2 linked regions of the Elephas maximus indicus genome follow. The protein of the gene in region 2 purifies or fractionates together with the protein of the main gene of each other region. This does not show direct contact. Links are inferred from orthologs where the notes say so. Each region holds a gene or a part of one and is shown on either strand. Other genes may lie near its edges. The genes, in order: STX12 and SNAP25.

Region 1 (16,578 bases), on a different chromosome or scaffold from region 2:
TTTCAAATTGAATGCCAACTAAATAATATCCACTGCTGTGCCAGGCACTGTAGCTAAAGAGAAATATATAATGCATGGTCTCTAGCCCCACAAAACTAATAGTCATCTCTCTAGATGTTATGACAGGTCAAAAAGCATGAATTATATGAAGAAACACAATATAAGTAAGTGCTAAACTGTGAGGGGAAAATGCTTACAAATCCAAAGAAAAAAAAATAGCTACCATTTCTATAGCACTTATGCCATATGAGTTAGAATCAGCTCAATAGCAACAGGTGTGCCACAGGCATAGTGTTATGGATTGAATTGTGTCCTCGAAAATTATGTATTATAAATCCTAACCTCTATGCCTGTGCTTAAAATCCCAGTTGGGAATGGATTCTTTGTTATGTTAATAAGGCAGGATTAATGTAGGGGGTGTCTTGAGTCAATCTCTTTTGAGATATAAAAGAGAGTAAATAAGAAAGCAATAAGCACAGATAGGCAAGTGAGATGCCAAGCCACCTCAAAATTGCCCAGAAGCAGAAGCTCAAAGAGATAAGAATCTTCCTCCAGAGTCAACAGAGAAAGCCCTCACCTAGAGCCGACACCCTGAATTGAAACTTCTAGCCTCCTGAACTGTGAGAAAATATATTTCTGTTTGTTAAAGCCACCCATTTATGGTATTTCTGTTATAGCAGCACTAGATGACTAACACACACTATTTTAAGCACTTTATATAAATTGCCTCATTTAATCCTCACACCCTGATGAAGTAGACATTATTATCAACTCCACTTTATAAATGAGGAAACAGAAATAGACAGGTAAAGTAATATGTTTATATAGCTAGTAAGAAGCAGATCTAAGATTGAGTCTGACTCCTGTACCTACCCACCTAACTGCTAAACTATAACGTGTGTGTGGTGGGGGGGGGGGGGGCGGGGGAGTGCTCAACAGGTAGTATCACCTTTTGTTGCATATCTACTGTGTGTACCAGCACTATATCAGAAAACTTCAAACATTCCTCTTTAACAATTCTATTCATTTTACAGCTAAGGGAGCAGACAAAAAAAGGAAAATAACCTGCCCAAGGTTAACAGTACACGCAGCAGCAGAGGCTCAATCCAGATCTGCTAACCCTAAGGCCCATGCTCTTCTGTGACTTTCCTTTACGTTTCAAAAGCAAAGGAAGGCTTCATTACAAGGGGAAGGATTTAAGCACAACTCAAAGGATCTGTATAATTTAGAGAGCTAGGAAGACAGGGAGAGGACAGATAGTAATGACAGGAGGAACAGGATGCGCAAGAACTCGAGCAAAAACAGCGTCCAGGAACATTAAGAAAAATAGCCTGCCTGTAGCAAAGGCTGAGGAGGAGTACAAAGTATGACTAGTGTGGGTTAAGATTTCAGAGAGAATGGAATGTTAAAATTTGATGCAGTAGACAACAGAAAGTCACCGTCAGCTCTTGAGGCGAGTGGCGTAATGAAAACGGGATTTTAGACATACATCACTGCTATGTTCATCCACATTATCAGGATAAAATAGAATGGGGAAAGAGTACAATGAGAGACACTAGCTTAGAGTATGCTGTTGGCATACAGGTATTGAGATTATAAAGATTTAAGAGGGTGGCAATGAAATAAAAAGCAAGGGGCAAATGTGAAAATAACTTCGAAAGAAGAATCCGCAGGATTTCATGATAATCAGTTTTAGAAGTTCAATTGCTTTTTGTTATTTTAGGAAACAAAAACATATCAATAAATTATCAATGTAAGGAACAGAAATGTTGTTTTTGAATCTCCTAAAATAGTTAACTTTGAGGCTGTTGTGCTTTTCCCTATAGTTGACCTTGCAATACTCCCCAGACCTTCCCTTCTACAATAGACAAAGCCAAGTATTTTTCCTCTGTGCCCCACACATTCCGATACCAGCCTTTTGTACCAGGCAGTCAACCTTAGCTGTACCTATAACAACCCCCACACAGTGACCTGCTGTATCTCAGGCTGATGGGTTCAGCAATTCCAAACCTGTGCCAGTGACTGGACAATTTAGAAAAAAAGACAGATATTCTCTCAAACTTTCAAAGGGTACTTGCAGGCCTATATAGTGTGGGATATACCCATGAGCTCACATTCAGAGGGTATACTTGAGTATGTTAGCCACATCTTAGAGAGGTTTGAGGGATAGGCACTAGTCATTTAACTGGGTAGATGCAATGTCGTTCTTCCAATTTCCTAATTTCTACTTCCTCACCAAACAACTCCAAGGGAAGAATTTCATCTTGTACTGTTTGGAGTCATACAATGTGGTAGGTACCAGATACTACTATATGGCATACAATGTGGTACCACATGGTATAAGGGGAAAGAGGCAGGAAGAGTTCTAAGGTAGCAGGAAAATCACATTCATTCAAATCAATTCAATAATAATTTATTAAGCATCAAGATATAAGATCTGATGCCCAGTTACCTCTCTGACCTTTTTTTCCTACTATGCACCCTTTTTTTTCTGGAACCCTGTGGCACAGTGGTTAAGGGCTCAGACACTAACCAGAAGGTCGACAGTTCGAATTCACCAGCTGTTCCTTGGAAACCCTATAGGGCAGCTGTACTCCGTCCTACAGGGCGGCTATGAGTTGGAATCAACTCAGCAGCAGCACGTTTTTGGGTGCACCCTTACGTTAACTGCAGTCGAGCCACACTGGCCTTCTCACTATTCTCTGAAAACACCAAGGTCTTTGCTCTTGCTGTTCTCTCTGCCTAGAATAGCTTCTCACACAGCTCCTTCCCTCACTTCCTTCAGGTGTCTACGAAAACGTCACCTCCTCAGAGAGATCCTCCTTGACCAACTTATCTAAAATAGCATACCCACCCTCCTCTCCCTTCACTCTCCATCCCTTTACACTATTTTTCTTTGTAGCACTTATTACTTGGGAATATACGTATGTCATTGTTGTTCAGTGCTGTCGGGTCTATTTAGACTCACAGTGACCCCGTGTAACAGAGTATAACTACTCTATAGGGTTTTCTAGGCTGTAATCTTTACAGAAGCAGATCTCCAGATCATTCTCCTGAGGAGCCGCTGGGTGGGTTCAAACTGCCATCCTTTCAGTTAGCAGCTGATCACTTAATCATCGCACAACCAGGGCTTCATACACAGACACACACACACACACCCTCTATCAGGGCAGGGGCTTTATCCATCTTTCTCATTCCTCTTACCCCGGTACCTAGAACAACACCTGGCACATAGCCAGTGCTCAAAGAATATCTGTTAAATAGGTGAATGAATGAGTCTCCCATATGCCTGGGACTGAGATGAGTACTGAGAATATAAAGATGAGTAAGTCATGTTCCCTGCCTCAGAGGAGCTAACAATCTACCGGGGAGACAAGACACACCACAAGAAGGGAATAGTAGAAACCCCACCACTTCAGAGTCTCCTCTGGAGAGTGGAAAAACAAGTCACTTGTATACTTAAGTGTTAGCTACTACAGAACTCTAATAGTAATTTTAAAAATTTGAAAAAGGCTAATTGCTGGTCATAAGGGACAGACCTGGTTTCAAATTTAGGCACTGCCATTTATGAACTAAGCAATTATTGAACTTCTGTCGGACTGTATCTTAATCCTTAAAATGGAAATTCTATTGGTACCTATTTCACAGCGATATTGGAAAATTAAGCCAGATAATACAGTGAAAATATCTTTCCTATAGCCTGGAACACAGTATGAACTCAATAACTGTTAGCTATCAGTGTTATCATGGTTGATTCCAATGACCCCCTTGAAGCTTTATCCAGTCAAAAACTGTGGTGAGTTGCTGTCGAGCCGAGTCTGACTCATAGCGACTCACAGCAACCCCACGTCTGCAGCACAGAACTGCGCCATAGGGTTTTTAGGGCAGTGGCTTTTTGGAAGCAGATCACCAGGCCTGTCTTCTGAGCCACCTTTGGATAGGTTCCAATTACCAACCTTTCTAGTTGTTAAGCACTTAACTGCTTGCATCACCCAGGGACTATTTAAGCCTTATCAATTCTATCTCCAAGGAAATATCTCCTATCCTTCCCTTCCTTTTCACTCTCACAGTCCCTAACTCGTATCTCTCATTCCAGTTATGAGTTAGTTCCATATCTCACTCAATTATACATTCTTAAAGAATTAAATCCAAGCCCCTTTGGATTTGAACTTGGATTTAAACCCAAACACTAAAAGCCTTTCATGTTTGGGCCCCAACTCATCTTTCCAACCCTATTTTCCACTGCTTTCCTGAGTCCATCACTCTAGCCATATTGAATTATTCTGCTTTTCTATATACACCCCCTGCCTTCCCACTACCATGCTGTTCCTCATTTTATTCCCTCTTTCTGGAATACTCTTTCCTCTTTACCTTCAAAAATCCAAACCCTTACCACCATCTTTCCAACCAAGCTCAAATGCCTTCCCTGATTCCTCTCAAGTGAAAATGGTCTCCCTCTCCTGAATACCCACATAATGTTATTTGTACCTCTTCTATAGCACTGATTCCTTTCAACCTTACATTTTGGTTGTTGTGGTGCAGTGAAGTACTTAATATGGCCCTTCTAGCCATAGTCTTTGTGACTCCCACACAATGATTGGGTCCCCAATCTACTGCCATTGACTTGACTCTAACTCATAGTGACTCTTTAGGACAGAGTAGAACTCCAGTATAGAGTTTCCAAGGAAGAGCTGGTGGATTTGAACTGCTAACCTTTTGGTTAGCAGCCGAACTCTTAACCACTGCACCACCAGGGCTCCAATGATTGGGTAGGACCATGCAAATAAGGTGTATGGACACTAATGAGGGGATTGGTCAGTTTTGCCACCCTGCTAAGCTTAAAAGAGAGCCAATTCCAGAGCAGAGGGGGAATCTGACTACCACCAAGAAGAGACAGGAGCAGAGAGTGTCCTTTGGATGCTGGGTCCCTGCACTGGGAACCTCCTAGAACCAGGAGACCAAGAGACAGAGCTGTAACACCGAAGAGGGTGGCAGCATAGAAACAGCGGCAGCAGAGGCAGCAGAACCAGGAGGCCAGCAGGAGACTATGTTGTGGGTGTGTTGACCCACTGAGCGAGAAATCTGAGCACCCTCAGGTAAGAGGCTTGCTGGTGGGTTGGAGTGGCTCCGGACACTTGTCAGTAGAGCTAGGTTCGCTGACCCACGGAGCCAGAGCTGAACGCCTTCAGCCGAGGCTTACTAGTCGAGTTGGTTGCCTCCGGGCACTTACCAGGAGAGCTAAAGAGCTTTGTAACGCTTGCCCAAGCAGGGCAGAGGTCTGGCCAGCCCAAGAGGCCCCGGGCCGGGGGGTGAGCCCATGGGCCAGAGAGAGGCCTGCCTGCTGCACAACCGAGAAGAGGCTGTCCTGATCGAACAGCTGTATCCTGAGCGTTCCTCAGCCTCAGTTGTAACCTGTTACTTCCCTAATAAACTCCGTAACTGTGAGTTCTGTATGGCCATTGCAGTGAATTATCAAACTCAGCAGAGAAGTAGAAAATGCCATGGGAGGGGTGGTGTCAGAATTGGTAAAAAGTTGGAGAGGAGTTATGTCTGACGTCCACCTTACATGAATCAGCCGTGAGCTGTTGATGCTGACAATGAATCTCCTCCCTGCCTTGTGAAGTTGGATGGGGAGGTCAGACACCACCCCCATGCCATTTTCACAGTTGTTTATGAACTGCACAGGCTCCCTGGGGAAAGAATTTTGTTTCGGTTCCTCTATTTTCTATATAGCCTGATACTCAAACAAATATATGTTGAATGAATATTTCACAAATACACAGACATTAAAATTCGATTTAGCCTCAACAACAGCTTTCTGCCTTGAACCAGAATTTTCTGATCTAACCTGCATTACTGCTCCCTCACAAGAGAAAATTGGAGCTTTCTAACCAGTGGTCATATTAATCTTTTTTTTTTTTTTTAATTCTGGGTTTAACAGGATTATATTCTTCTTTCCACTTCCAAATCAGCCAGTCTCAATCCCTTCCCATCAGAAACTTTCTGCCTCTCAAGTTCCACAATCACCATTTAAATTGAAAAGCAAAGTGATAGATTATTCTTCAAAATATAGAACAAAATTGTAGTACAGGACCAACTAGTTCTACCTATTAACAGAGTACAGCCAAGCTCAAAAAAACACAATCATAAGCGACGATAATGATCACCATTTGTTCCAAGTAAAGTTGCTGCTGCCCACCTCCTGTTTACAAAGCTCTGAGCTGATTTTCAGGCCCAAGATACAGGTTGTATTTGACTCATTCAGCTACAGCCTCACTCAGACCCTAATGGTGAGGAGGGAGTTTTAGGACAAACAATGACATTCTGAATTTCACCACTACCTACCAAGTCTTACTTGCTATGTGATTGTCGCCAAGTCCCTGGACTTCTCTGTGCATCAGATTTGTTCAAGAGTAGCTAAATATTAAGAAGAACAAAAGCCTCATATGCTTGAAATCCAAAAATATACCCAAATCCTTTGTTACGAAAAAATAATAATAATGTAAATTGAAACGTTTTTGGTGAATCCTCTTCATTAAAACAGAAGTCATCTCACTCAAATACTAATCATCACATCTGATCCCTCAACTCATTTACAAGAATTATGTATAAGTCACCCGAAAACATACACTCTCCACTTCCTTTAATTGAAAGTTGCTGATTTCCTAGGAGCCAGTGGCTGAGCAGAATGTAAACCTAAAGCCTAAATCAGTAAACAACCTCCGATCCAAACTGGCCCAAGAAGAAAGCGAGGTGGGTAGGGGGAAAGCGGGTGACAGGAAAAACTCGGCTGACCACTGCGCCAAGTCCACGCATTCACTGCTCTCCAGGACACACACACACACCCCCACCCTAGGGCTGTTAGCTGTGCTGTTGAGGCCTCAGCACCGTGGCGACAGAACTCCTGAGAAGAAACTCGAGCTTCAGCAGCGGCTCGGGACCCTCGGGGAGTCGGGCCTGACAGATTAGGGGATGGCAGCCCGGCGGCCCCAGCGTGGAGAGTCCAAGACAGCCTCAGGTGTGGCTTTGGTCTCAGAGCCGGTTGGGTTCCGCGTCCCGGCAGCCTCACCAGGCCTGTCCCGGGACGGCCCCCGCCCCCCAGCCCAGTCCCCTGTCTCACTGGCTTGGCTGATCCGCTGGATGTTGCCGCTGCATGTCTGGATGATGCTGTTGAAGTCCCGGAGTGGGGGCCCTGAGGGCCCCGGGTTCCGGTACATGTGTAAGGGGCCGTAGGACATGATAAGGAGCTGAGACCGGCTCGCCCTGCGCGGTGCTCCAACCGGAAGCAGCTGTCAGACGGGACCGGCAACCTGACGGGGAAACCGGGCACAGAAAGGGCGTGGAAGGGGCTGAAGCTGCGTGCGCACTAGCTCCGCCCCCATGCAGCGCGCACGCGTCCGCCCTGCCCCGCCCCGCCCCGCCCCGCAGCGCGCGGGCGCCGCTGAAACCAAAGCCTGGGGAGAGTTTAGACTAGACGCGCGGAAACTTGGGGATGCGGGCTCCTGACGTCACATAATTGGGACTCGGCTACTTGGGTGGCGGTGTTGTTTCTTGCAAAGACACAGTGACAGGCGGCAAGAATTTTCGATTTGCATAAAATTGTACCAGATGATCTCAGCCCTGACATCCTTTTATGTTCTATTCTGAGAATTCAGGCCCAAATATGGGAAAATTCGATAACCTCGAAACCAAGCCCCTGAAATTGCTCGCTCCACTTCTGAACTCTAGGGCTTTGGTAGTATTTGCGGGGCACTTTCACGGTTCACAAACGATTTTCATTTTTCCCTCCACCCCTCTTGTAATTCCAAACAATAAAATAATATTTATTGAGCATCTACTATGTGTGAATCCTCACTGCAATTCACTTGTTGATAAGTTTTTTCACGGCAAGTCACGATGTTCTATCTATATTTTTAATCTTCAGAATAGATAATGGACAAATTTTTTAAAATCTTGAAGTAACCAGGCAAACTAAGCATTATTATTTTCCTTTTTACAGATGAGAAAATTAAGATCATAGAGATTCTCTTTACTGAAGTTTGACTGCAAAATCTGTACACTAAGCTAACTCCATCATCACCTATTGCCCTAAAGTTTATCCCCTTATTCTCAAATTCATTCTCCATGTAAACCCCTCCCAAATAGCCTCTTCATCTGTATCCCAGACGGGGATTTCTTGGAGAACTATAGTCCCAAAATGTAAAAATCATTCCCTTAAGTAATTTGGAGAATAAGACCTCAATGTTCCAGTAAGACTGCATTTTGTCAGTGAAAGGAAAGGCATGGGTAGGATTTTGATTTGGGAGGGAGTCAAGACACTGGAGGAGTGAAGGGGAGCTGGTAGTGTGCTTTCCTGTGTTCTCCAGCAGCCCTGCCCTAGGTTGCTGTGCAGTCTGTGGGGAACGGCAGAGAAAGAGGAAGCTGCTTCCCTGTGTTTACATATGTGGGAAGGGGCCCCAAATGGGTAAATGAGCCTGCATTCAGGCTCAGAGCTATTATAAGCAAGACTCTCTTTTTCTTTAGTGCATTTATGAGAACATTTCTTTCTTCATAGAAAAGGACATGACATTTGGGGCTCTTGTTTTATTAAAACCCTGTCATTTCTTACAATCCATAGTTTCATGTCAAGTCTTACAGAAAATTATATAAATTGTACGTTTTACTCATAAAATACTGTTGAGGATGTTTTCATTTACATTTTCATTACATTTGACACTGTATAAAGTAAAGTTGAAAAGTACTATCTTAATAATGGAAATGATACCAGAGATCACATGATAGAATTTTGCAAGACCAATGACTTCTTCATTGCAAATACCTTTTTTCAACAACATAAACAGCGACTATATACGTGGACTCCGCCTGATGGAATACACAGGAATCAAATCAACTACACCTGTGGAAAGAGATGACAGAAAAGCTCAATATCATCACTCAGAAGAAGGCCAGGGGCCAACTGCTGAACAGACCATCAATTGTTCATATGCAAGTTAAGCTGAAGCTGAAGAAAATTGGAACAAGTCCATGAGAGTCAACGTATACACCTTGAGTATATCCCACCTGAATTTAGAGAGCATCTCAAGAATAGATTTGATGCACTGAACACTAATGACCAAAGACCAGACGAGTTGTGGCATGACATCAGGGACATCATGCATGAAGAAAGCAAGAGGTCACTGAAAAGACAGGAAAGAAAGAAAAGACCAAAATGGATATCAGAAAAGACTCTGAAACTTGTTCTTGAACATCGAGTAGCTAAAGTGAATGGAAGAAATGATGAAGTCAAAGAACTGAAGAGATTTTAACGAGCAGCTCAAGAAGACAAAGTAAGGTATTATAATGACATGTGCAAAGACCAAAAGAGAAGAACATGCTTGACATTTCTCAAGCTGAAAGAACCGAAGAAAAAACTAAAGCCTCAAGTTGCAGCATTGAAGGATTCTATGGGCAAAATACTGAACTATGCAGGAACCATCAAAAGAACAAGAAAGGAATACACACAGTCACTGTACCAAAAAGAATTAGTCGCCGTTCATCATTTCAGGAGGTGGTATATGATCAAGAACCGATGGTAGTGAAGGAAGAAGTCCAAACTGCACTGAAGACGTTGGTGAAAAACAAGGCTCCAGGAATTGACAGAATACCAACAGAGATGTTTCAACAAACGGATGCAGCACTGGAAGTGCTCACTTGTCTATCTCAAGAAATTTGGAAGACAGCTACCTGGCCATCCAACTGGAAGAGATCCATATTTACGCCTATTGCCAAGAAAGATGATCCAACCCAATGCAGAAATTATGGAACAGTATCATTAATATCACATGCAAGTAAAATTTTGCTGAAGATCATTCAAAAGCAGCTGCAGCAGTACATCAACAGGGAACTGCCAGAAATTCAAGCCAGATTCAGAAGAGGACGTGGAACCAGGGGTATCATTGCTGATGTCAGATGGATCATGGCTGAAAGCAGAGAATACTGGAAAGATGTTTACCTGTGTTTTATTGACTATGCAAAGGCATTTGACTGTGTGAATCATAACAAATTATGTATAACGTTGCAAAGAATGGGAATTCCAGAACACTTAATTGTGCTCATGAGGAACCTGTACATAGACCAAGAGGCAGCCTTTGGAGCAGAACAAGGGGATACTGTGTGGTTTAAAGTCAGGAAAGGTGTGCATCAGGGTTGTATTCCTTCACCATACCTATTCAATCTGTATGCTGAGCAAATAATCCAAGAAGCTGGACTATATGAAGAGGAACAGGGCATCAGGATTGGAGACTCATTAACAACCTGCATTATGCAGATGACACAACCTTGCTTGCTGAAAGTGAAGAGGACTTGAAGTACTTACTGATGAAGATCAAAGACTACAGTGTTCAGTATGACTTACACCTCAATATAAAGAAAACAAAAATCCTCACAATTGAACAATAAGCAGCATCACGATAAATGGAGAAAAGATTGGCGTTGCTAAGGATTTCATTTTACTTGGATACACCATCAACAGCCTTGGAAGCAGCACTCAAGAAATCAAACAACACATCACTGCACTGGATAAATCTGCTGCAAAAGACCTCTTTCAAGTGTTAAAAAAGCAAAGATGTCATTTTGAGGACTAAGGTGCTCCTGACCCAAAGCATGGTGTTTTCAATCACCTCATATGCATGCGAAAGCTGGACGATGAATAAGGGAGACCAGAGAAGAATCCATGCCTTTGAATTGTGGTTTGGCAAAGGATGTTGAATATACCACGGACTGCCAAAAGAACAAACAAGTCTGTCTCGGAAGGAGTACAGCCAGAATGCTCCTTAGAAGCAAGGATGACAAGACTTTGTCTTACATACTTTGGATGTGTTATCAGGAGGGATTAGTCCCTGGAGAAGGGTAAAGTAGAGGGTCGTCGAAAAAGCAGAAGACCCTCAACAAGATGAATTGACACAGTAGCTGCAACAATGGGCTCAAACATAACGACCATGAGGATGGCGCAGGGTTAGGCAGTCTTCCTTCTGTTGTACATAGTGTCGCTGTGAGTCGGAATTGACTCCACGGCACCTAACAACAACAAAGTAAAGTTCAGTAAAGGTATTTATCGCCTAGGAATTGAAGTTACAGTTGTTTTTTTCCTCCATTTGAAATAAAAGTAGTTTCCATCTGTTCATCTTTCATAGCAGTAAATTTGTGCCTTATACATGCCAAATATTTATTGAACTCATACATAAATAATAAAAATAACTACCATTTCTTAAATACCTATTAGGCGCCAAGCAATGTGCACACATTTTACATACATTATTGCTAATCCCCAAGGTAAAGACCATCTGTGGTCTGACAAAATTAAGCTTATTAACTTGCTGCAGCCAGGGAGACTGTAAAACAAGTGGATCCTGGAACATCTCATCAAGCACAGGAAGAGACAGAGTTAGTTATTCTAGGCTTTGAGGGAAAGATGGAGGGTAGGTAAAACGTAAAAGAAGCAGTATTTTGATAGCCTCAAAGCACACCCAGGCTATGTATAATAGGATTGACATCAGGCCTGAACTAACTCAAAGGCTTGGGAATCCTGTTTCCTTGGAAACTACAATGTGAAGATAAATGTGGAATGTTGTATCTGGAAATCCCTTATCTGAAGCTCTGCACCTGGGTTGGAAATTGAAACTGCTTCTCTCTGTCAAAGTAACCCAGGTTCTCAAAGCAAGAGTAGAATGTTCCATTCTTATATAATTTCCAACAGCAAATTTTCTGAAAATCTGATTTTAGAAAATAAGGTTTCTCAGCACTCTGTCCTTGTGTTAATTAACAAAAACAGTTTTTCAAGTTGACACTCAGGAAGGCAAGATTAGCTCCTTGGTACAGACAAGGAAACTGGTATTCTCTAGAGATTATGGGTATTTGCCCAAGGTCATACAGTTGTTAAGTGGCAGAGCCAGGACTCATACATAACCTATGACCCAGAAAGTCTACTTCTAATTATATATGCAACAGAAATCCATACATATGTGTTCCAAAAACCAGGTATAAGAACGCTCATAGCAGCATTTAAAAAATGTCTTAGGCAACTGGACTAAACCAAAAGCAGTTTCCTGAATAAACTGAACACTTCGAAGGCCAGCGTAGCAGGGGCGGGGGTTTGGGGACCATGGTTTCAGGGGACATCTAGGTCAACGGGCATAATGAAATCTGTTAAGAAGACAGTCTGCATCCCACTTCGGAGAGTGGCGTCTGGGGTCTTAAACACCAGCAAGCGGGCATCTAAGATATATCAATTGGTCTCAATCCACCTGGAGCAAACAGGAATGAAGAACACCAGACACAAGGTATTTATGAGCCCAAGAGACAGAAAGGGCCACATAAACCAGTGACTACATCAGCCTGAGACCTGAAGAACTAGATGATGCCTGGCTACAGCTGATGACTGCCCTGACAGGGAACAGAACAAAGAACCCCTGAAGGAGCACGAGAGCAGTGGGATGCAGACCTAAAATTCTTGCAAAAAGACCAGACTTAATGGTCTGACTGAGACTAGAAGGACCCCGGAGGTCATGGTCCCCAGACCTTCTATTAGCCCAAGACAGGAACCATTTCCAAAGCCAACTCTTCAGACAGGAATTGGACTGGACTATCATTTTTTTTTTTTTATCAGATAGAAAATGATACTGGTGAGAAGTGAGCTTCTCGGATCAAGTAGACACATGAGACTATGTTCGCATCTCCTGTCTGGAATGGAGACAGGAGGGCAGAGGGGGTGAGAATCTGACCAGATGGACACGAAATAGAGAGTGGAGAGAAGAAGTGTGCTGTCTCATTAGGGGGAGAGCAACTAGGAATATATAGCAAGGTGTATATACATTTTTGTATGACAGACTGACTTGATTAGTGAACTTTCACTTAAACCACAATAAAAATAAGAAAAAAAATTTTCTAAATGTCTAGGACTGAGAACGTTTTTCCTGTCTTTAATTTTTATTGAGTTATGACTGACATAGAATACAATGCACAGATAATAAGTGTTCAATTCAATGAGTTTTGATACTTGTATACACTCAGGTAGCTGCTGCCCAAACAAAGATATAGAGCTTTCCCGTCATCACCCCAGAAAATTCCCTCAAATCGTGCTTCTTTCCAAACGGTTCCCCTCGTGCTCAGAAATCATCTTCTGATTTTTATCACTACAAATTAACTTTGTGTATTCTTGGATTACAGAAATGGAATCGTACTGTATGTATTATTTAGTGTTTGGCTTGTTTCACTTAACAAGCTGTTTTTGAGATTTATCCATGATGTTGCATCTATCTGTGGTTTGGTCCTTTTTATTGCTGAGTAGTATTTCATTACATAAATATACAACAATTTGATTATTCGTTCTCTTATTGATGGATATTTGGGCTATTTCCAGTTTGGGGTTATTATGAATAAGGTCATAGCAGCACTTATTTTTAATAATTCCAAAGTGGAAACCACCCAAATTTCCATCAACAGCAGGATGGGTAAATTGTGGAACTACAGAGCAAAATAAATAAATAATAAATAACCTACCACGATGTGAATAATGTGGATGGCCTCTCCCAAACATAATGTGTAGCCAAAGAAGCCAGACACAAAATAAGTACATGCTACGTCATTCCATTTTTATTAAGTTCAAACCTGGGAAAAATTAAGCTATATTATTAAAAGTCAGAATTGTACCTTTGAGAAAAGAAGGAATGACTAGGAATGGACACATGAGGTGGGCTTCTAGAATGCTGGTTTCTTTATCTAGGTGGTGGTTATACGGATGTGTTTACTTTGTGAAAATCCATCGCCAGACACTTGTGAAGTGTGCCCTTTTCTGTGTGCACTTCAATAAATAAGTTTCGTATTTTAAACATAAAGCATTCTTATCACCAGTATGATGAGCTTCCTGAATCGTAGGGGAGGGGGGTCAGTGGAGGAATTCACTTAGATTGCAAAAAAGACTGCACTAAAATTAGCGGTCTATCATACATTGCTGGTGGGAATGCAAAACGGTACTTGCCACTTCAGAAGTCTGGCAGTTTCTTATAAAGTTAAACATAAACTTATTTTACAACCCAATAATTCAGCAATCCTACTCCTAGGTATTTACCCAAGAGAAATAAAAATACAGTGAAACCTCTGAGAGCAGGGAACTCGACCTGACTGCCCTGTTTTTCCACATCTCACAAGTTTTCTGACTTCGACAGGGTGCAGTCTTACCACTTTTCTATCGCTTGTTTTAGTGGAAAATATTTTAGTTTTCCCTCTCTAACAGGTTTCTGCTTTACACAGGTTCTGGCTTTCAGAGGTTTTACTACACATGTCCATACAAACACCTGTGTGCAAACATTTAAGGCTACTTTGTTTATAATAACCCAAAACTGGAAACAACTCAAATGTCCATCAGCTACTGAAAAGATAAACAAATTATGGTACATCCATACAATAGAAAACTATTCAGCTATAAAAAGGAACAAAGTACTGAAGCATGGGATGAACCACTGATATATGCAAACACGTGGCTGAATCTCAAAAGTGTTATGCTAAGTGAAAGTAGCCAGGCCCAGAAGGCTACATATTGTACCACTCCATTTATATGACATTCTGGAATAGGCAAAGAAGAGACAGAAATGAGATTAATGGTTGTCTGAAGCTGGAGTTGGGCTAAGGGTATCAACTACAAAGGATACAAGGGAACTTTTTGGGGTAATGGTAATGTTGCATATCTTGATTGTGTGGGTGATTAGGCAACTGCATACATTTGCCAAAACTCATCGATCTGTACACTAAAAAGAATAACTTTACTGTATGCAAATTATATTTAATAAACCTAACTAAAAAAAAAAAATGCCATTCTAGCTATCAGTGCAGTAAAGTGGCGTGCATGAGGTAGGTAATCTGGAGTTGAAAAAAAAAAAAAGGTGCAGAAGTTGTAGATTACATAAACGTTCTGGTGGCCAGAAGTTATCTTGGGATAGAAGTAACTTTGGAAGCAAAAACCAAGTGAATGTACCTGTTCATTCTAATTTATCACTGTACCACTGTCTTAGTTACCTAGACAGTGGTACAGTGATAAACTGCTATAACAGAAATACCACAAGTGGATGGCTTTAACAAAGAACAATTTATTTCCCCACAGTAAAGTAAGGCTAAAAGTCCAAATTCAGAGTGTCAGCTCCAGGGGAAGGCTCTCTCTCTATTGGCTCTGGAGGAAAGTCCTTGTCCTCAATCTTCCCATGGTCGAGGAGCTTCTCAGTTGCAGAGACCCCTGGTCCAAAGGAAGTGCTCTGCTCCTGGCACTGCTTTCTTGGTGGTATGAGGTCCCCAACTCTCTGCCTGCTTCCCTTCCCTTTTATCTCTTGAGAGATAAAAGGTGGCGCAGGCCACACCCCAGGAAAACTCCGTTTACACTGGATCATGGATCTGGCCTGGGTAAGGGTGGTATTACAATCCCACCCTAATCCTTTTAACATAAAACTACATCACAAAATGAAGGACGTCCACAGAATACTGGGCATCATGGCCTAACAAAGTTGATACACACAGTTTTGGGGGGACATAATTCAATCCATGGCAATCACCTTTTCAGAAACCCTGGTGGTATAGTGATTAAGAGCTATGGCTGCTAACCAAAAGATCAGCAGTTTGAATCCACCAGGTGCTCCTTGGAAACTCTATGGGGAAGTTCTACTCTGTCTTATCTCTCAGGAACCAGAAAAGGTTGATTCTGTGTAAGTCATGGATGACAATAGCTTAGAAAATGGAAACTGTACTATGTGCCAAGAAATGTTCTAAAGACCTCTACCACCACATGACACCATCTTATTTTTCAAGTAGAGTTGATAATCTGCTGCAAGGGCAACCTGGCAAGCACAGGTAAGCAAAGAAGTCATTGATTTAAGTAACAGCTAAGAAATATGCAGTACTTTCCCCCAAAATGACACTTTTTATTCCTGCCTTCAAAATCCAGAAGTTCGCAGTGGTTAGTTACTTAAAAACATAGGTCCTATGCAAAGGCATTCGACTGTGTGGTTCATAACAAACTATGGATAACACTGCGAAGAATGGGAATTCCAGAACACTTAATTATGCTCATGAGGAACCTTTACATAGATCAAGAGGCAGTTGTTCGGACAGAACAAGGGGATACTGATTGGTTTAAAGTCAGGAAAGGTGTGCATCAGGGTTGTATTCTTTCACCATACCTATTTAATCTGTATGCTGAACAAATAATCTGAGAAGCTGGACCATATGAAGAACGGGGCATCAGGATTGGAGGAAGACTCATTAACAACCTGTGTTATGCAGATGACACAACCTTGCTTGCTGAAAGTGAAGAGGACTTGAAGCACTTATTATTGAAGATCAAAGACCACAGCCTTCAGTAGGGATTACACCTCAACATAAAGAAAACAAAAATCCTCACAACTGGACCAATGAGCAACATCATGATAAACGGAGAAAAGACTGAAGCAGTCAAGGATTTCGTTTTACTTGGATCCACAATCAACAGCCATGGAAGCAGCAGTCAAGAAATCAAAAGACGCATTGCATTGGGTAAATCTGCTGCAAAGGACCTCTTCA
Region 2 (17,097 bases):
AAAGTCAATAGACTAAAAAAAATAATTACAAAAAGTTTAGGCAGGTTTTAGGGAATAACCTGTGCCTCACAGCCATAAATCAGATTGAGAAGTGATGATTCAGACCAGGGCTTTGAGGAAAGAGACAGAATTTCAGTCTGACTGGAAAGGCTTCAGAAAGATGATGTCAAAGCAATTATAGAACAAAAAGAAAAGAGAAAGAGAGGAAAGGGAGAGAGAGAGAGGAGAGAGATCGGGAGTGCGGTGGGGAGGCCGCGGATGCGATTAATCTTAGGATGTGGGGTCAGGTCAGTTCCTGAAGCATGATTAAGGCAGTGCCAGCTGAGACCATGTGGTCACTTGACCCAGAGCCATTGATTGCTTGGGGTTTCAGCACTGGTTTTGTTGGCAGGGAGAGTGGACAAAATTAGTCCACTTCGGTCATTCTGCAGATGAAAAAACTGAGTTCAACAGTATTTGACTGATTTATTCAAAGATGGTCTGATTCTAAAACAGGATATTGCAAGCAGTTGTTTCAGGGATATACCTGGGTCTCCTGGCTCCCTGACCAGCATCCTTGCCATTGCCCTATGCTGCCCACCGAGGGGGAAAAGACATTGTGACAAACAAAACAAACAAACAAAAACCAAAACCCATGTAATTCTCTTGCCTTCTTGGACCAATATGAAGCAGGTGGAAATGATAGAGGTAGCATAGTGTGTACTACAGTTAACTCTCTGGAGTCAGACTGCCTGCACTTAAATCCCACCTCTGTTCCATGGCTTTAGGCAAGCTACTTAGTCTAACTCCGTTTCAAGTTATTCACCTGTAAAATGTAAATAATTATAGGGTGGAAACCCTTGTGGCGTAGTGGTTAAGTGCTATGGCTGCTAACCAAAGGGTCGGCAGTTCAAATCTGCCAGGCGCTCCTTGGAAACTTTATGGGGCAGTTCTGCTCTGTCCTATAGGATTGCTATGAGTCAGAATCGACTCGACGGCACTGGGTTTGGTTTTCGTTTTTTTTGAGCTATAGGGTTGATACAAGAATTCAATGAGCTAGTACAGGTGGCACTGGGCACTGGGTAGTACAGGCGAAGCTTTCAGGGCAGCTGGCTCACTTTTCTCACCCACAAGCCTATTCTCTTTGGGGCATCTCTACCCTTCTAAATCAGATTTTTGGCTTTCTAAATGTTACCTAATACTATACCTAAACTCATATGAATTATGTTTTGCACCATTTATTTAGAAATAGGTCAGAAACTGCTTGGACTTTTGTCTAATATTAGGTGAAATGCTTTGAGATCCCTGTAAAGACAATTATGCAGAAAAGAGAAGCTACTATTGTTATTCTCATTTTTTTTTCCCCATTGCTGCCGAGTCAATTCCGACTCCTAGTGACCCTATGGGACAGAGTGCAACTGCCCCCACAGAGTTTTCAAGGCTATAAATCTTTAGGGGAGGAGACTGCCACATCTTTCTCCTATGGCACGGCTGGTGGGCTCCTTATTATTGTTATAGGAATGAGCAATTCTGAAGAGTTCTCGGTGGCAGCCGGGGCTCTCTGGAAATTTCTTTGGTCTCCCCCCACTTTCCCATGAAAGACTAATTTCAAGTGTTTCTCTGCTTCCATGCCCTGCTTCCTCAATACCATATCGCATCTCCTCTTTCCTCTTACCTGAGGGGTAGGGGGCCCTCTGGACTCAGTTTAATAATCACCAGCCTAACCTCCTCTAAAGTATACGTCACTGCCTCCAAATTTCCCTGGGTAGTCAGCTTGGAAATCAAAACAACATGGTTTTGCCTCCCTTGCCAGTGTTGTAAAGCACAGATAGGCATAGTCCCTTTACACTCCATCATCAGGATTAAAATAGCAATAAAGTCCGCGTCTGCAACTGTCATTTCTTCCTCCACATGAGGCCATGGACTATTTTGGTTCGGCAGTTTTGCCAGCATTTGGAATTTGAAGCTCCGCCATGGCCATAACCATAATATTAAAAAGGAGATGGGTACAGTTTAGGTCTTGGGTTAGCTCTCCAGTGAGGGTAATCAGCAAAAGTCAACAGGATGGGTAGAGAAAGAAATACTATATATTGCTCACCTCACCTCACACCAGTTTTCTAAATTTTACCATAGCATCTCCTTTTTCTTTCATATTTAGTCACTTGGGGCTGGTTCTATTTGTCATACTGCCCAAAACATGCGCAGAAAAATGGCATCTTTTTTCATCAGTCTAGCGGTGTTTTGACAAAGCAGAGTACGCAGGGGGTCCAAGACAGTGTTCTGCATGGCCTTTGTCATTCAAGTGTGCCTTCTGGTGACCTCATCAACAGATTCCTAACCTGCTTTTCAATCTCTGACAGGTGCTCATCTTGAATATTTTGCTCCAGTCAATCATGGAAAATTGAAACTTAAAATTAACTTCTGGGCAGGGCTTATATGTCCTTGTAGGTCTAAGCATTTCAAAGTATGATTTTAAAAGGTGCCTCAATGAGGATTGATTAATTGATTTTTTAAATTAAAAATCCCTTATGATACCAATCTGCTCCCCTCTATTTCTGGAAGAGCACAAATTTAATCCACTCAGTCAATACCAATTCCTGGATACCAAAAACGACATTGTTAACTTTGAAATATCACCTTTTACTCAGAAATAAACTTTAGAGGATAAAGGAAGAAATCCTCAGCTTGGCAGGCAAAGCCTTCCACAGCAGGCTCCAACCCTTCTTCCAGCATACTCCCTGATGAAAGTTCTCCACTCCAACCGAATGGAGGGGCATTTTTAGGGTGGGCTTGACTAACTTGACGTTCTGCTTATGCTGTAATTTTTACTTAGCAGATCCCCCCCCAACCCAGCGCCGGCGACCTCCAAGAGCCAACTCCAGTCCTGCCTCCTCTTTCAGCTCAATCTAGTCCTCCTCAGAATTTACAGTCCTAAATTTTGTTTTTTTTCACATGGCAACTAATTACACACTCCCTCATGATTATTATTCTACTGTTTTATTGAGTTTTCATTTTGGTATTATTTATTCATTTTTATTAAGATCGCTAGATGCTAAACTTCTTGAGGCCAAAAGCCATATAACCATGAGACTTTCTAGCCCTGGTAGGGTTCATTTATGTATCTGGTGCTCACTGATTGATCAATATCTTCCTATCAGATTGGCCCCTGGTGACAAGGGATGACGCTGCAGAAATGTATCTGGTGCCGAGGTTAAAAACACCAATTTTATTACCGTTGTAAAACTGTAAAGCAGTTTCTGTAATGTGAAAAAGCTAGTTTATTCATACTGCAGCCTCAAAAAAGCAAATTTATCTATTTTTCTGCTTCTTGTTTCCTCTCTCAACCTGTTTCTCAAATTATTTCTCTCACTTTTACAGATCCTTCAAAACCTACATGTTTTGCTGAAGGCCAGTTACTACGCAGAGAGGTGCCACTGGCAGAAATATCAATCTTCTGGTTGATACTCTGGGGTTAACATTTGGAATTCAGGAAATGTCTTTAGACAAGCTAATTATGGGTCAGTTTGTGTTGTGTGTGTATGTGTGTGCACATATGTGGTTGCGCAGGTTCAGCAAAGTAAAAATAAAATTGTGAATTTTTAGGAGGTGGTGCCATGGGAGGTTAAGAAGATTATAAATTGTTTTGTAATCCGAATGCCACAGTGGTAATGCAGAAAATGCCAATGGCAGGCAGGTGTTACCGTCAGAGGGTCTGCGTCAGTGCTTCCTGGCTGGTCCTTGTGTCCATCTGCTCCTGCCTCTTCTTACCATATTGCCCTGGATTTTTAAAATTTGAAACCTAAAATGGAAAAGATCTGGATTTTTTTTTCTTCTGAAGCTTGTCAATAATATCAATGTTAAATTCATGCCTCAGTGATGTTTTTTCTTTAATTTTTCAGGAAGATGTCCTAGAATTCGCTCCATAATTTTGCACATCTCCTCTTCCTCCCAGCTCTGTGCCCTTTGCCAGCTTCACTGCAGTCCTCTACCGCCCTTCCCCCCTCTTCCACTAGCAAATAAACCCAGCAGTAATTACTAATGTCCAAGGATGTATTTCCGGCAGCGTTAGGCTTTCATTTGATGCAACTACGCAGAGAGCTGTCTGGACATGAAGCATGAAGTCAAAGCATTTTTTAAGACTCCTGCCCATCTTTTTTTTCTCCTTCCTCCCATCACTAAAACCCAATTGTTTATTTCTTCTGCAGATTGCAGAGTTATAAACTTCTTCCACACAATTACATACTCTTGAATACATTTCCACCCAAATAATTTTACATCCATGCACAATAACAGATCAATATATACATATTTGGAAATTCATGGTTATCTATAAAAACAAAAATAAACACTAGAAAATAAACAAATAGCTGGGAGCAAAAGTCCTTCTATGTGGATAGGGCATTTTAACACCTAGTATACAAATAATTAGTGTTACCCTGGCTAAAAACATTCCAAGATCTTATTGTGAGGCTTTTAAGAGGGTCATGATGGCGTTTCCTTAATGCGTTGTATATATTTTTTACATACGACACAGTTACTCTTATTTACCAATGACTCTATTATAATACTACTATTTTGTTCCTGGTCATTTCATGCCAATTTTATCTATATCAAATGGAAAGAAAGCTCTCTGTAATGATTTTTGCTGGCTCAGGGGCTCCAAGCCTCAGAGTAGAAAACGGTCAGAATACTTATCACCACCTCAGCAAAATCCCGCAGTGCCATAAAAGAAATTGCAGTAGATCTTAAGGTCAGAGTCTACTTTCAGTCTAACACTGTGGTTCTTTCACCTGCAGTACGCTGAAGGACACAGTTGGATCCACCTAAGAAGACCACTCTTAATGTTGTCAAAATCACAAACTATTGGCCTGAGATAGCCAGTATTCACAGGAAATACTTCCCCTAACTCTAAAACCATTAGCAAAGAGGTTAAATCTATAGACTGTGGGACTCGTAAATATTTATCAGAGATGTATTTGTGTGGGTGTGTGCTTGTATTCACACATAATTATAAGAGTGAGGGAAAAGACAGAGGGAGAAGGATTAATTCTTAAAGTAGTTGATTCTGTTTAGTTCAGCAACCCGTTTTTTTTTTTTTTTCACCAAATAGAAATACAGAGAGATGTATTCACTCCTATAAACGATAGTGTTGGCATCTTTATGTATACTACACTCATGCCTACCGAAGTTTCATAGACAGTGCAACGCCTACTCTATGTTAAAAACAAACACAAACGAAACCTTGATTATATAATTGGAGAATAAATACAAATTTTAAAAATGTGTTCATTTCCTATCTAAAAGGAGGTGAAGAGGGCATACAGAATGGTTCCACAAGTAGACTTTTTTTTTTTTTTTTAAGCTGTGCAGGAGGTGCGGAGGGAGCAAGTAATTACCTGCAAAGGAGTCCCTGTAGGCACGATTTTTTTTTTACCTACTACGCCTGCTCTATTAGGTATCTCTGTCTCCAAGAGGCAATTTGGCGTCCAATCCTGGCGCATCTCGCCCTGGCCAGGCACCTGTGCCGCAAGTAGCTGCGGCGCTGCGGCCGGATCGCTGTCCGTGGTGCTGGAAGGTCGCGGGAGCCAGCGCGGGCCCTGGGTACGCTGTCCAGGGTTCTGAGTGCGGGCCTCCGCAGTCCCCGAGGCGAGCCCACTGCCGCCAGCCCTCCACAGAGCCCTCCCACCCAGCATGACCCGCCCGCCTCCCGCCAGCCTGCAGTTGACGTGGAGCAGGCGGTATAAATCAAGTCCGTGGGGGCATGGAGGCTGCTGTCGCTGCCGCAGCTCAGCTGGCCCGGGGCGGGAACTCTCTCCTTGTCTTTTCGCCTCTCCAGCGCCCACCCTGCCTTGTCCTTAATTCTTCACTGGATAACTGCTTTCTAATCACAACGATCATAATAGGGTTAGGTGGACAGATTTTTTTGTCTGTTTGTTTTGGTCTACAGAAAAAGAAAACAGCATCCTAAACACCACTGAAAACTGCATCGCAAAATGGAAGAGAGAAGGTCCCACTACAGTTTGAAAAGAGTAAGTTATTATTTGGTACGTATCCTTGCGCTTCCTCCCATCGCTCCATCTGCAGTGTCCCCATTCATCCCTCCCCCCCTAACAGCTCACCTCGAAAATACTTTATAAAGCCCCAGGCGGGAGTCTAGCCAGACGCGCACACACAGAATACCGCACCCTAGGTGCACAAATACTTGTATTTACCGAAGCCCACTTGGTCTGCCCAGCTGTGGTCCCCTCTGAGTTTGCAGTCACCGAGATCCAGAACCATGGCCCAAGGAGGGGCTCCTTACCTTGGCTTCTCCAGAGGATGGTATTCGCCGGGACCCTGCAGGTTTCAAGTGTGGAGGAGCGGCCGAGCAGGAAGGGAAGGAAAGACAGCACCTGACCTCCCCGAGGTTTCGTCTTCAATGCAATGTGAGCTCTGCCCTCATCAAAGATGGCTGTCCCTTTTGACGTCAGCAGCTTTTAATAGCCATCTCCTGGAGGGGCGGGGAGGAAGTGTGCTGGGGGAGGGCGGAGGGAGGACAGAGGCTGGAGGTGGGAGGGGAGGAGCCGGAGGAGCGGAGCGCTTGACTCAGTTCCCTGAACGCTTCACTGCAAACCTTTGAATTTTAAGTCTTTTATAAACAGCCGAATGGGGCGATTCTTCTGACTCCATTTTAACAGTCGGTCTTGAGCAAACACATTTATCTCGCTACTATATATATGTGTATATACATATATATGTGTATGTATATGTATATATACGTATATGTGTATTTAATTTTTTATACATATATAAGTATGTGCATATATATATACGTATAACCCAAACCCTATACATATATATATATATATATATATATATTTTTTTCCCTGCTGAGTTGAATCATTGGTTGAGTCACAGTGGAAGGGGGAGGGGAAGACAGAGGACGGGGGGCGGTGATGGTGATGGAGGAGGGGTGTTGGGGGGTAGATTTCAGCAGAGATTTGTTTTCGCCAAAGAAGAGGGTTCAAAGGGGGCATCCCTGTCAACCCTGTCTAGTTCCATATATGGCCAGCCTACGTGGGTTGCTATTTTTATGAGTGATCTCTGTTTTATCAAAGCAGCATCGAGGGCTTGGAGTTCTCGTTAATGTGGTCAGTTGGAGAGAGAGTCGCAGACGTTATTTTAAAGTACGTCAGAGCAATTATCGCCGTGATATATCAAACGACTTGGGGACGCGGAGGAAAGGCAGTTAGCCCAACCAGCGTCGTCTTGCTAGGGCTCCAGGCTTGCAGTTGCGGAGGGCAACATAGATGATGCTGTTTTCGGTTGAATTTGCAATAGGAGTCTGGGGTTTGACGTTGAGTATCTTTTTTTATCCAGTAGGGCACGTATATGCCTTACAGAATCATAGAACCGCCCAGACCTCCAGAGAAAAGTAGAAGGCTGCAGGTTCAAGGGTGGCTTGGACACGACAAAATTCTGGTGGTTCATTCGGTGCGCAAACCCTGGGTTGGGGTCCCGCTGATGCTCAAACAGGGCATGGGCGAGAAAGGCTAGTTTTGCTGGTCATAAAAGATTAAAAATAATAATCATAAAGCAATAATCCTAACGGTCTTCCCTCGTGCATTAGGTGCTGGGGGGGGGGTTATGCAAACAGTTCCGCGGTGGCAGCCTCTGGATGATTCACAGGTGTTGGGGAGGCTGTCGCGGGGCTCTCCGCGGGGAGGGCGAGCTGGGGAGCGCGTGGGAGGTGGGGGACCTCAGCTGAGGAACTGTTTGTACTTTTCCGGGAGGGATGTGATTAGAAGTCGTGCCTTGCAACGTTAAAACTTGATGGCCTCTTAGACGATGGAAAATCCTTGCCTTTTTTGGAAGAAACCTTTCAGAACTGGGTCTAGGAAAACAACACACAAGGAGCCCCTCTACCCCCTCATCCCCCCCTCCCCCAAACAGCCACCAGCTGGTTTGAGAGCCAAGCTTAAGCAATAATAAGGCTTTTAATTGTGCTTGATTGGAGAGAGAGAGCTCAGGAGAGGAGGAAAGTAGAGCTGTAAAGGGACTGCGTTTAGAGGGAGCAGAGCTGTCAGACTTTAATAAAGGACGCCTCTAAGTCATTGTTTCTTAAAGCTTCTCTGACTCAAAGGGTATTTTGAAATATTACTCTTTGCAATCACAATTAACAAATGTCATTTGGATTTTTATTAAAGCTGGATTTCTAAAAAACAAAAAAAAACCATGCTACTGAAATTTGTTTACTTAATTATATAGTAAACATTTAAAATTCCTATACCATAAACAACAAGAAAATCTGTAAAGTTCTTACTTATATACTGTTGAAAGTGTCCTAGCTCTGGCTCTTACTTTTATTACAAAGCAGGGTGGGCTAGGGTGGGGGAAGTGCTGGCATAGCAAAAGCTGTTACAGTTAGGATTGTTTCCAAAATGTGGCACACACACAAAAAGACAGCATGTGGAAGTTCGGGGAAGAAAATCCTGCAGTGGGGAGAAACAAAATATGTGTCTGGCCTTCAGACTAGAAGTCATTCAGGCAGAAAGTTTTGTGAAGGAAAAGAGGAGGTGGGGGAATTTCCAGATCAAAAAAAAAAAAAAGTATAAAGGAATCACATCAGTGATGGAGGCTCATCCTACAGACAGAAGCTGAGTGGAAGTCACCAGGGGAGGGCTGGCGTGGCGTCTGAGCTTTCAACAGCTGATGTCCTACACTGACATCTTTAAAAATGATAGATAAGAAGAGAGAGCCAGGTTGATTCAAGACATCACAGAAAACATCACAGGTCCTAAAAGATATCTTGTGGTGGTCACAGCACTTTCCTTTCCCCTGTGTTTAGGTCAAAAATGATGTCCTTTGAAAGATTCATCTTATTCTGGGAAAGACAACAGAATCTAATTTGAGTAACATAAATATTGGACATTTAGCTTTATTTGGAGCTGAAAGTCTACGAAGGATGACCAAACCCAAGCCAAACCCATTTCCTCTGAGCGAATTCCGACTCATAGTGACTCTATAGGACAGAGTAGAACTGCCCCATAGTGTTTCTTATGGAAGCAAATTGCCACAGCTTTCTCCCACAGCGCAGCTGGTGAGTTTGAACCTCTGACCTTTCAGTTAGCAGCCAGAGCTTCTTCAAAGATGACTAGGTAGTGCTAAGGGGCCATAGCTGTGCAGTGGTTAAAGCGCTAGGCCGCTAACCAAACGGTTGGCAGTTTGAACCCACCCACCAGCCATTCCTGGGAGAAAGATGTGGCAATCTGCCTCCTTAAAGATTTATATAGCCTTGGAAACCCTATGGAGCAATTCTAAAAAAAAAAAAAAAATTTTTTTTTTCTATAAGGTCGCTATGAATTGAAATCAACTAGAGGGCAGTGGGTTTGATCCGTTGCCATCAAGTGTATTCCGACTCATAGTGACCCTGTAGGACAGAGCCCCATAGATAGTGCTAAATGCTTTTGGAATATAAGAATGAGATTTCCCCCTCTGCTTTTCTCATGGCTTGAGGATTAAAAAAAAAAAAAAAAAACAGAACAAAATGAAACAAACAAAAACAAAATAAAAGTCAACCTTGCCACAACCAGCAGATTTATTTTACTCAGGGTCTATAATGGCCTGAAGCACACAACGAAGGAAGGTGATGGAAAATTTGCTCCAAAATGATTCAGCTGCCTGTGAGTTATTTCTGCAAAGAACCAACACATAGAGTAACTAATGCTTAGGATCTCATTTGATGAGAAGTGAGGAAATTACCTGCTCAGCTGGATGGATATTTACACTATGCTAATTCAGTCTCTGAAAGGCTTTTCTGGTACAACATGCCCCAAAAGTATTCTGGTTCGCAATAGCTCCAGATCCAAGGAGTTTACCTTGTATTCTCTGAGGTCAGGGGCGAGATTCATAGATGACTCAATAATTACAACCTCATAAGGAATAATAGTAATAAAAACTTTTATAGAATGCCATATGATCTTCCAAAGTCAACTTGGAAGTAGTTTTAGAACAAGCCAAACTCAGAATCTCCCCTACTCTTACAACGTCCTCCTTTGGAGCATGTTTGAAACCCTGTGACAATGTCTCAAAAGACTGTTAGGGCATATCTTAGTCATCTAGTGCTGCTATAACAGACATACCACAAGTGGATGGCTTTAACAAAGAGAAGTTTATTCTCTCGCAGTCCAGTAAGCTTGAAGTCCGAATTCAGGGCTTTGGCTCCAGAGGAAGGCTTCCTCTCTCTGTCAGCTCTAGAGCTCTAGAGGAAGGTCCTTGTCATCAGTCTTCCCTTGGTCTGGGGGCATCTTAACACAGGAACCTCAGGTGCAAAGGATGCACTCTGCTCCCAGTACTGCTTTCTTCGTGGTATGAAGTCCCCATGTCTCTCTGCTGGCTTCTCTCTTTTATATCTCAAAACAGATTGGCTTAAGACACTACCTAATCCTGTAGACCTCATCAGTATAATTGCTGCTAATCCATTTTATTGCATCATAGTGATAGGATTTACAACATATACGGAAATCACATCAGAAAACAAAATGGTGGACAATCATACAATCATACAAGGGAATCATGACCCAGCCAAGTTGACAGATATTTTGGGGGACACAATTCAGTCCATGACAGGGCACAAGATTTGGGCACAAGAATATACAACTCAATAGATCAAAAAAAAAAAAAAGCCAAACCTGTTGCCATCGAGTCAATCCTGAATTGTAGGTACCCTATAGGACAGGGTTTCCAAGGAGTACCTGGTAGATTTGAACTTCAGACCTTTTGGTAGGCAGCGGTAGCTCTTAACAACTATACCACCAGGGTTTCCATTTAACAATGAACTATTTTTATTCTTTGGTTTGCTTTCCATATGGCTTGTTTGCCACTTTCTCTTTATATGTTCTTCTAGCCCTTACTCCAGTCCCCACCCACTTATAGGGAGTGACCTAGTAATACCTTGGGAAAGCTTAAATGCTGCAGATCTAAACTCCTCAGGCTGTCCTTATTCCCTGAAGCCTCTGAGGTAGGAATATATCTTGTGAGAAGTAGAAACAGAACCAGAAATATTCGTTTCTGTTTCTGGCTTGCCATGTTGAGGAAAAATAAGACTGTACACCCAGAATTTAAATAACACTTTGTTCTTTACTAAGAACAGCATTGTAGGAAAGAAGGGAAGGCACTGCTCACCAGCCAGAGGCTGGGTGCTTCCACACTCCTGTTCCATAATAAATTGCGGGCTCTCTTTTATACTTGAATGCAACTTGGGGCCCTCTCCAGTGCTGAGACACATCTTATAGTCAAGTGGCAAGGAGGAGTCTTAGGGTAATCAGGAGCAGAGGGGAAGGGGAAAATGGGGGTTAAAATTAGCAAACTTCACAAAGGCTATTTGAAAGGGATCACAATACTCCTTTAGCAAATCTTTTGAGAATCTTATTAGCTCTGTAACCTCTCTGTACCTCAGTTTTCTCATAGGAAAAATGGGGGATTATAAATGTACCCAACTTACAGAGAAACTGTGAAGCACTTAGAATTATCTCTGGCACTTGTCAAGTATTTACAGTGTCAAAAATAAACAACTCAGAACACCATTAACAGATTGTTACGCAGGTTTATTGGACAACTTCAAAGTCGGGCAGCACGTCATTACCGAGTAAATCAGTGCCCTGAGGAATTAAGAATCAGGGTATTTACAGAAAGTTTCATCAAGGACTTTGAATGAGACCATTTTGATTGGTGGACAATTATATCAGAATACATAAATCTTATAAGAGAGCAGTATGTACTCAAACATTATAAAGCATAGAAAAATTGAAATCTCCTAAGACAATCAGTGAGCCATGATTTTAAGACCTCTGGAGTTGTAGAAATGGGCCGTGTTCATTTATCTTCTATTATTTTCTGAAAGAACAAGTCCCAATGAGCCTGATCACCTAAATACAATTACGTGAAACTGAACAAGCTGCTTCTAAAGGCTAGTTACAATTTTAGGCATAACTAAGCTTAAAAATTATATATATCTCTATCTATGCTTACACAGCACATGGGTTTCTAACATTTAATAAGATGACCTTTAGTGTCATGGGCAAGAGAACACTCTCTGTTCGCATAAAGCAAAACTTATCATTTTATTTCACAACAGTATTGGTTAAATGAAAAAAATCTATGGATATGATGAGACTAACTTTCTTTCTCTAATTACTGACATGTAACTCTACTTCCATGGGAGAAAGATGTGGCAACCTGCTTCCATAAAGATTTACAGCCTTGGAAATCCAATTGGGGCAGTTCTACCCTGTCATATAGGGTCAGTACGAGTCAGAAACAAATCGATGGCAATGGGTATGGGTAAAATAGGAAGGGTTAATTTCTCCGTTAGCTAGATACATATCATTTAATTTCTTTGGGCCCTAGTTTTGTCATCTGTATTGTTTCATTCATTTACTTAACATTGAGTGCCTGCCATATACTTGGCATTAGAATATATTGGGACCTAGGTAAAACAGAGGAGAGACTTAAGGGTTAGAGAAGTTAAATAACCTGAACAACAACAACAAAATACCCCAAACCCATTGCCATCGAGTCTCCTATAGGACAGAGTAGAACTGCCCAATAGTTTCCAAGGAGCGCCTGGTGGACTTGAACTGCCAGCCTTTTGGTTAGCAGCTGTAGCACTTAACCACTATAGCACCAGGGTTTCCAGCCTGAACAAGGACACAGCTAAATAAATAGTATTGCTGGGATTTGAACCCTGAAACCCAAGCTTATAATCGTGTTACTCAAAGAAATTGAATCATAAGGTTTATTCCAAGCAGTCATTCTCTGTGTATATAGGGAGATCATCCTGATTCCAAAAAAAAAAAAAAAAAGCAAATGACTCACAGTAGGCTAGTTACAATGAATCTTATGAAGAGAGGAGGGAGAAGAATAGAAGACCAACCATTGGCTAATCTTAACATGATTGACTGAACCCTGCTTTCCCTCTTTTACTGAGATCAGTTTGTCAGGTTACTAGGTGACCCCCGGCTTGGCGGCTAAAAATTTTGGCTCTCCACCCACCTGCAGCCATGGACTTTGAGATTTAAAGTAGAGGAGCCTAAATCTTTTTCATTAAATCAGGAAGAAATGGTTTTGTTGTGACCATTCTTGTCTAGCAGGAGAAGAATTTTACATTGCTGTAGAGCAGTTTCTGGTGGGAACCAAATCAATCCTTTTGCAGTTTGGGTTAGACTTTTTAGGTTAATATTTGGTTTTATTTGGATAAGAAAAACCATAAAATCAAAGTGTGATGTCTGTTATTAATTTTCCTCTTTCACATTTCCCTGCTTCTGGTTGTGATTCAGTTAGAATCTTTGATCGCTAAGTTTTGGCCGGGTTTTTTCAGGTCTCATAGGTACTGCTTTATGGGGTACCTTTTTGTGAAACATATTATTTCTATTGGTTCCTTAGCTTTTTCACTTTGTTGTTCCTCTAGTCGAAAGGAGACCATTTGCTGTACCTTAGATGGCTGCTTGAAAGCTTTTAAGCCCCCAGACGCTAAGCAACTTAGTAGCTTAACAGAAAAGACTAAAATAAGGAGAATGCATAAGCCAGTAGTCTGAAAGGCTTGTCTGGTCCCCCCAAAAACCCGTTGCCATCCAGTTGATTCCAACTCATAGCAGCCCTGTAGGACAGAGTAGAACTGCCCCATAGAGTCTCCAAGGAACGCCTAGTGGATTCAAACCAAACTGCTGACCTTTTGGTTAGCAGCCGTAGCACTTAACCACAATGCCACCAGGGTTTCCTGGTGGCCCACAAACCCAAATTTCCTAACCATGACCCCAATCACAGGAAGATGCATAAGGGGCATCTCCAGCATGCATTGTATCTCCAACAGGAGCTTCTGCTAAAATTGTATCTCAATATATTTTCACTTAGATGCCATGGATATATATACACAACAGTTTGCTTTCACCAAAGCACAACCTCTTTCTTGGGAAGCAGGTAAATGATCAAATGATCAAGAGCTAAGCTATTCTATAATGCAATTATCCTTATCTGTGCTATTTCAGAGTATAGCATTATCTAGACTATTAATAGAGCCGTCTTGCCTAACATCATTTGTAACCTTTATATATATATATGGAAACCCTGGTGGCGTAGTGGTTAAGAGCTACAGCTGTTAACCCAAAGGTGGGCAGTATGAACCCTTCAGGAACTCCTTGGAAACCACATGGAGCAGTTCTACTCTGTCCTATAGGGTCGCTATGAGTTGGAATTGACTTGACGTCAATCGGTTTTATGGGTTTATTCTGGTTTATATATATATATGTGTGTGTGTGTGTGTGTGTGTGTGTTTTATATAGTTTAAACCAATTTTAACAACTATGGGTACCATGGCTTTTATAGAACAGCCAATTAATGCTCCATTTGTCAATGAAACCTGATTTGGTAGCAGTTTAGTCAATAGTTTGACGACCTTCAGTTTTAATCTCTGTCATATTTCCAAATTTTATTTTTGGCTAATTGATTATATATAGATAGATAGAGAACAACATAAACCATGTAACAAAAACGAGTCTAATCTGCAATTAGAAAGCAAACTCATTAGTTGTCTGTGGTTTCTCAAAGACAATGGACAAAACCCAAAATCTGATAGCCTACAAGGGCTTGCTATAATTTCCTATTGAAACAAAAAATTTCTCTGTATGGTCACTGTCCTCTCAATCAAAAGGCAATCTCAAAGCAAAGTTTTTCTTGATCTAAAACACGGCTGTTCATTAGTATTTACATAGGTACAATAAGAATGGTAATTTATCCCTTTCAAAATTGCTTTGCTGGGAGTTTTCATAAGGAACTTCAGATTAAACTTGTAAGAGCCCCTCAGGGCCAGAAAGTCAAGCCAAGAGCTTGTCACCAGATTTTACCTACAGTACCCGCAGATTTGGGTGAGTTCATTTTTCTTCTAGGTGCCAAAACATCATAAGGTTTCTGGGCCTGCAGGAAGGCGGTCTTCCTTATCTGTAAGGTTGGGAACCTTGTAAGTCAGGTCCAAATAAAACACCAAACTCGTTGCCATCGAGTCGATTCTGACTCATAGCGACCCTATAGAGCAGAGTAGAACTGTCCCATGGGGTTTCCAAGGAGCGCCTGGTGAATTTGAACTGCTGGGCTTTTGGTTAGCAGTCATAGCTCTTAACCACTGCACCATCAAGGTTTCCATAAGTCAGATGCCAGTTTAGATTTCCTGGGAGAGCTTTGTAAGCATTGGCTTCATAAAGTCAACCCTAGCGCCTTAAAAGTGTTTGGTCATACCTGATTTTCTGAACACCATTCTTAAATATGATGTTCCAGTTAAAGCTTGGTTATATGACCAGGTTTTCCAATTACGTCCTGTTAACAAGGGGGGGGGGCAGTTAATTGTTAAATTTAATGTAAATAATTATATTTCCATAAAAATAAGAACACTCATTTAGAGTTTCCTAGTTCCAGAGGGATAAGGCAGAGAGAAAAGATAAATGTTTCGTTTTTGTTTGCATGAACAGTCTATGAAATAGTTACACATTACAGAGTTTAGAAGAAAAGAGAAAGGGGTTTCTTATATTCAGAAGATAGAACATCAAAACACCAGCAATACTTCATATAGAACCCCTAATTGTTCTTTAATCCACTCAGTCCTGTAATTAATTTCTGTTCCATTAGTCCTGCATCAGCAGTCGTGAATACATCAGCTTCTCCATGAAAGTTCTGGAAATCTTGATTCATTCTAGTGGTATATGCAGTGCCATTTAAAATTCTACATCCAAATATCTGGTATAGTTCTTTTCATGGGTCCCTTTTGGTGAAAAAACTCTAGCCTGTGGTTTGTTTATTGCAAGCACCTTCAGTACGTCATCAAAGTATAAGCTATATCCAGATGATAAGACTTAAAAATAGCCATTACTAATAATAATTCATGCAAGTAGAGGACCAGATGAGAATTCATTACAAAAGTAATGCAAAGCAAAATAAGTCAACGACAACAAAAAAAAACTGTAGATAAAATATCTCTAAATATAGTGATTAACATTATTTTCTAATTTTTGAAAGGGAAAGACCATAATCCTTAGTGATTAAAAAAAAAAACTTAGATGTAAAATAGTCATGAGAAATAACATAATATGAATATAAACATATAGTTAGAATATACCAAGAATTGACCAGGATTATCAAGTTTCTAAACATCTGAATATTAATGAAACTCTAGAGGTAAACAGAGTAAATCCTCAGTTGAAACCCCTTAACATCAATACTGGTAGATTTAGATTAAAGAAGAAAGCTTCAACCAAGCTAGCAATTAAAAAAAACAACTAAATTTATGCTCTTGTTGTCTAATATTAGGCAAAATATAAGAGAAGACACTGGACACATTAAATTTTCTAACCCAAAGAAAATGAGGCATTTCTCTTGATTTGACCACATATTTCATACAACTCATGACACATTAAGTAAGCCTTATGTTTTTCCTAGCACTTTTCCCACAGGAGCAGATCTGTGGATCTCCATGAAGTTTCAAAGTTGTCAGGAGTTTTTCATAGATCAGTGAGATGGAAATCTATTTAACTAAGGTGCCAATGAAAGGTTTTAAAATTAAAATGCTTAAAAAGCTTTTTCAAAACCCTGAGGCTTGGTTTTCCTAATCAAGGGCATAAATGTTAAAGTAAACTCAAGAGACACAGAACGTTTGCCTCTGAGGCAGATTACACAGGAGAAAGAACAACTTTTCGTATTATAGATGAGGGCAATAAACAGTAAACCAAGGAAACAAGAACATAGAAATAGAGTAACTTTGCCAAGATTTTAACACATTTCATAAACCACATATTATAAACCAAGGTAAATAAAATTTATTTCCAAGGCTTTTGTCCTTTAGTGTGCTCTTATATTCTAGAAAAAATTGATATTTTATTTCAGGTCTGATCTCAGAGGGTCTACAAGGTCAGAACTAATCTCACAATATTATCAAGAGGTTATTGACATACAGTGCAATCATTGTTATCTACAAATGATTTAATAAATGAGCATTTTAATTAAATGTTTCTCAATTTTAATTTCTGATATGGTTAATGTTTATAGTTACCCCTCCTGCCCAGTGCACTCACAAATTCTTTGATGTCTTCAGTAAGT

Evidence for each region.
Region 1: the proteins of SNAP25 (region 2) and STX12 purify together in Homo sapiens (co-immunoprecipitation; 3 studies listed by BioGRID and IntAct, with this or other methods). This does not show direct contact. The link is inferred for Elephas maximus indicus from reciprocal best matches to the Homo sapiens genes SNAP25 and STX12.

The regions. Positions count from the first base shown.
Region 1 is NC_064821.1:68,153,581-68,170,158, reverse strand, and holds the start of STX12 (syntaxin-12), read right to left. Parts: upstream 7,355-16,578; 5' UTR 7,239-7,354; coding exon 7,121-7,238; intron 1-7,120. UniProt on the Homo sapiens protein: SNARE promoting fusion of transport vesicles with target membranes. Together with SNARE STX6, promotes movement of vesicles from endosomes to the cell membrane, and may therefore function in the endocytic recycling pathway.
Region 2 is NC_064843.1:48,983,813-49,000,909, reverse strand, and holds the start of SNAP25 (synaptosomal-associated protein 25), read right to left. Parts: upstream 6,413-17,097; 5' UTR 6,281-6,412; intron 1-6,280.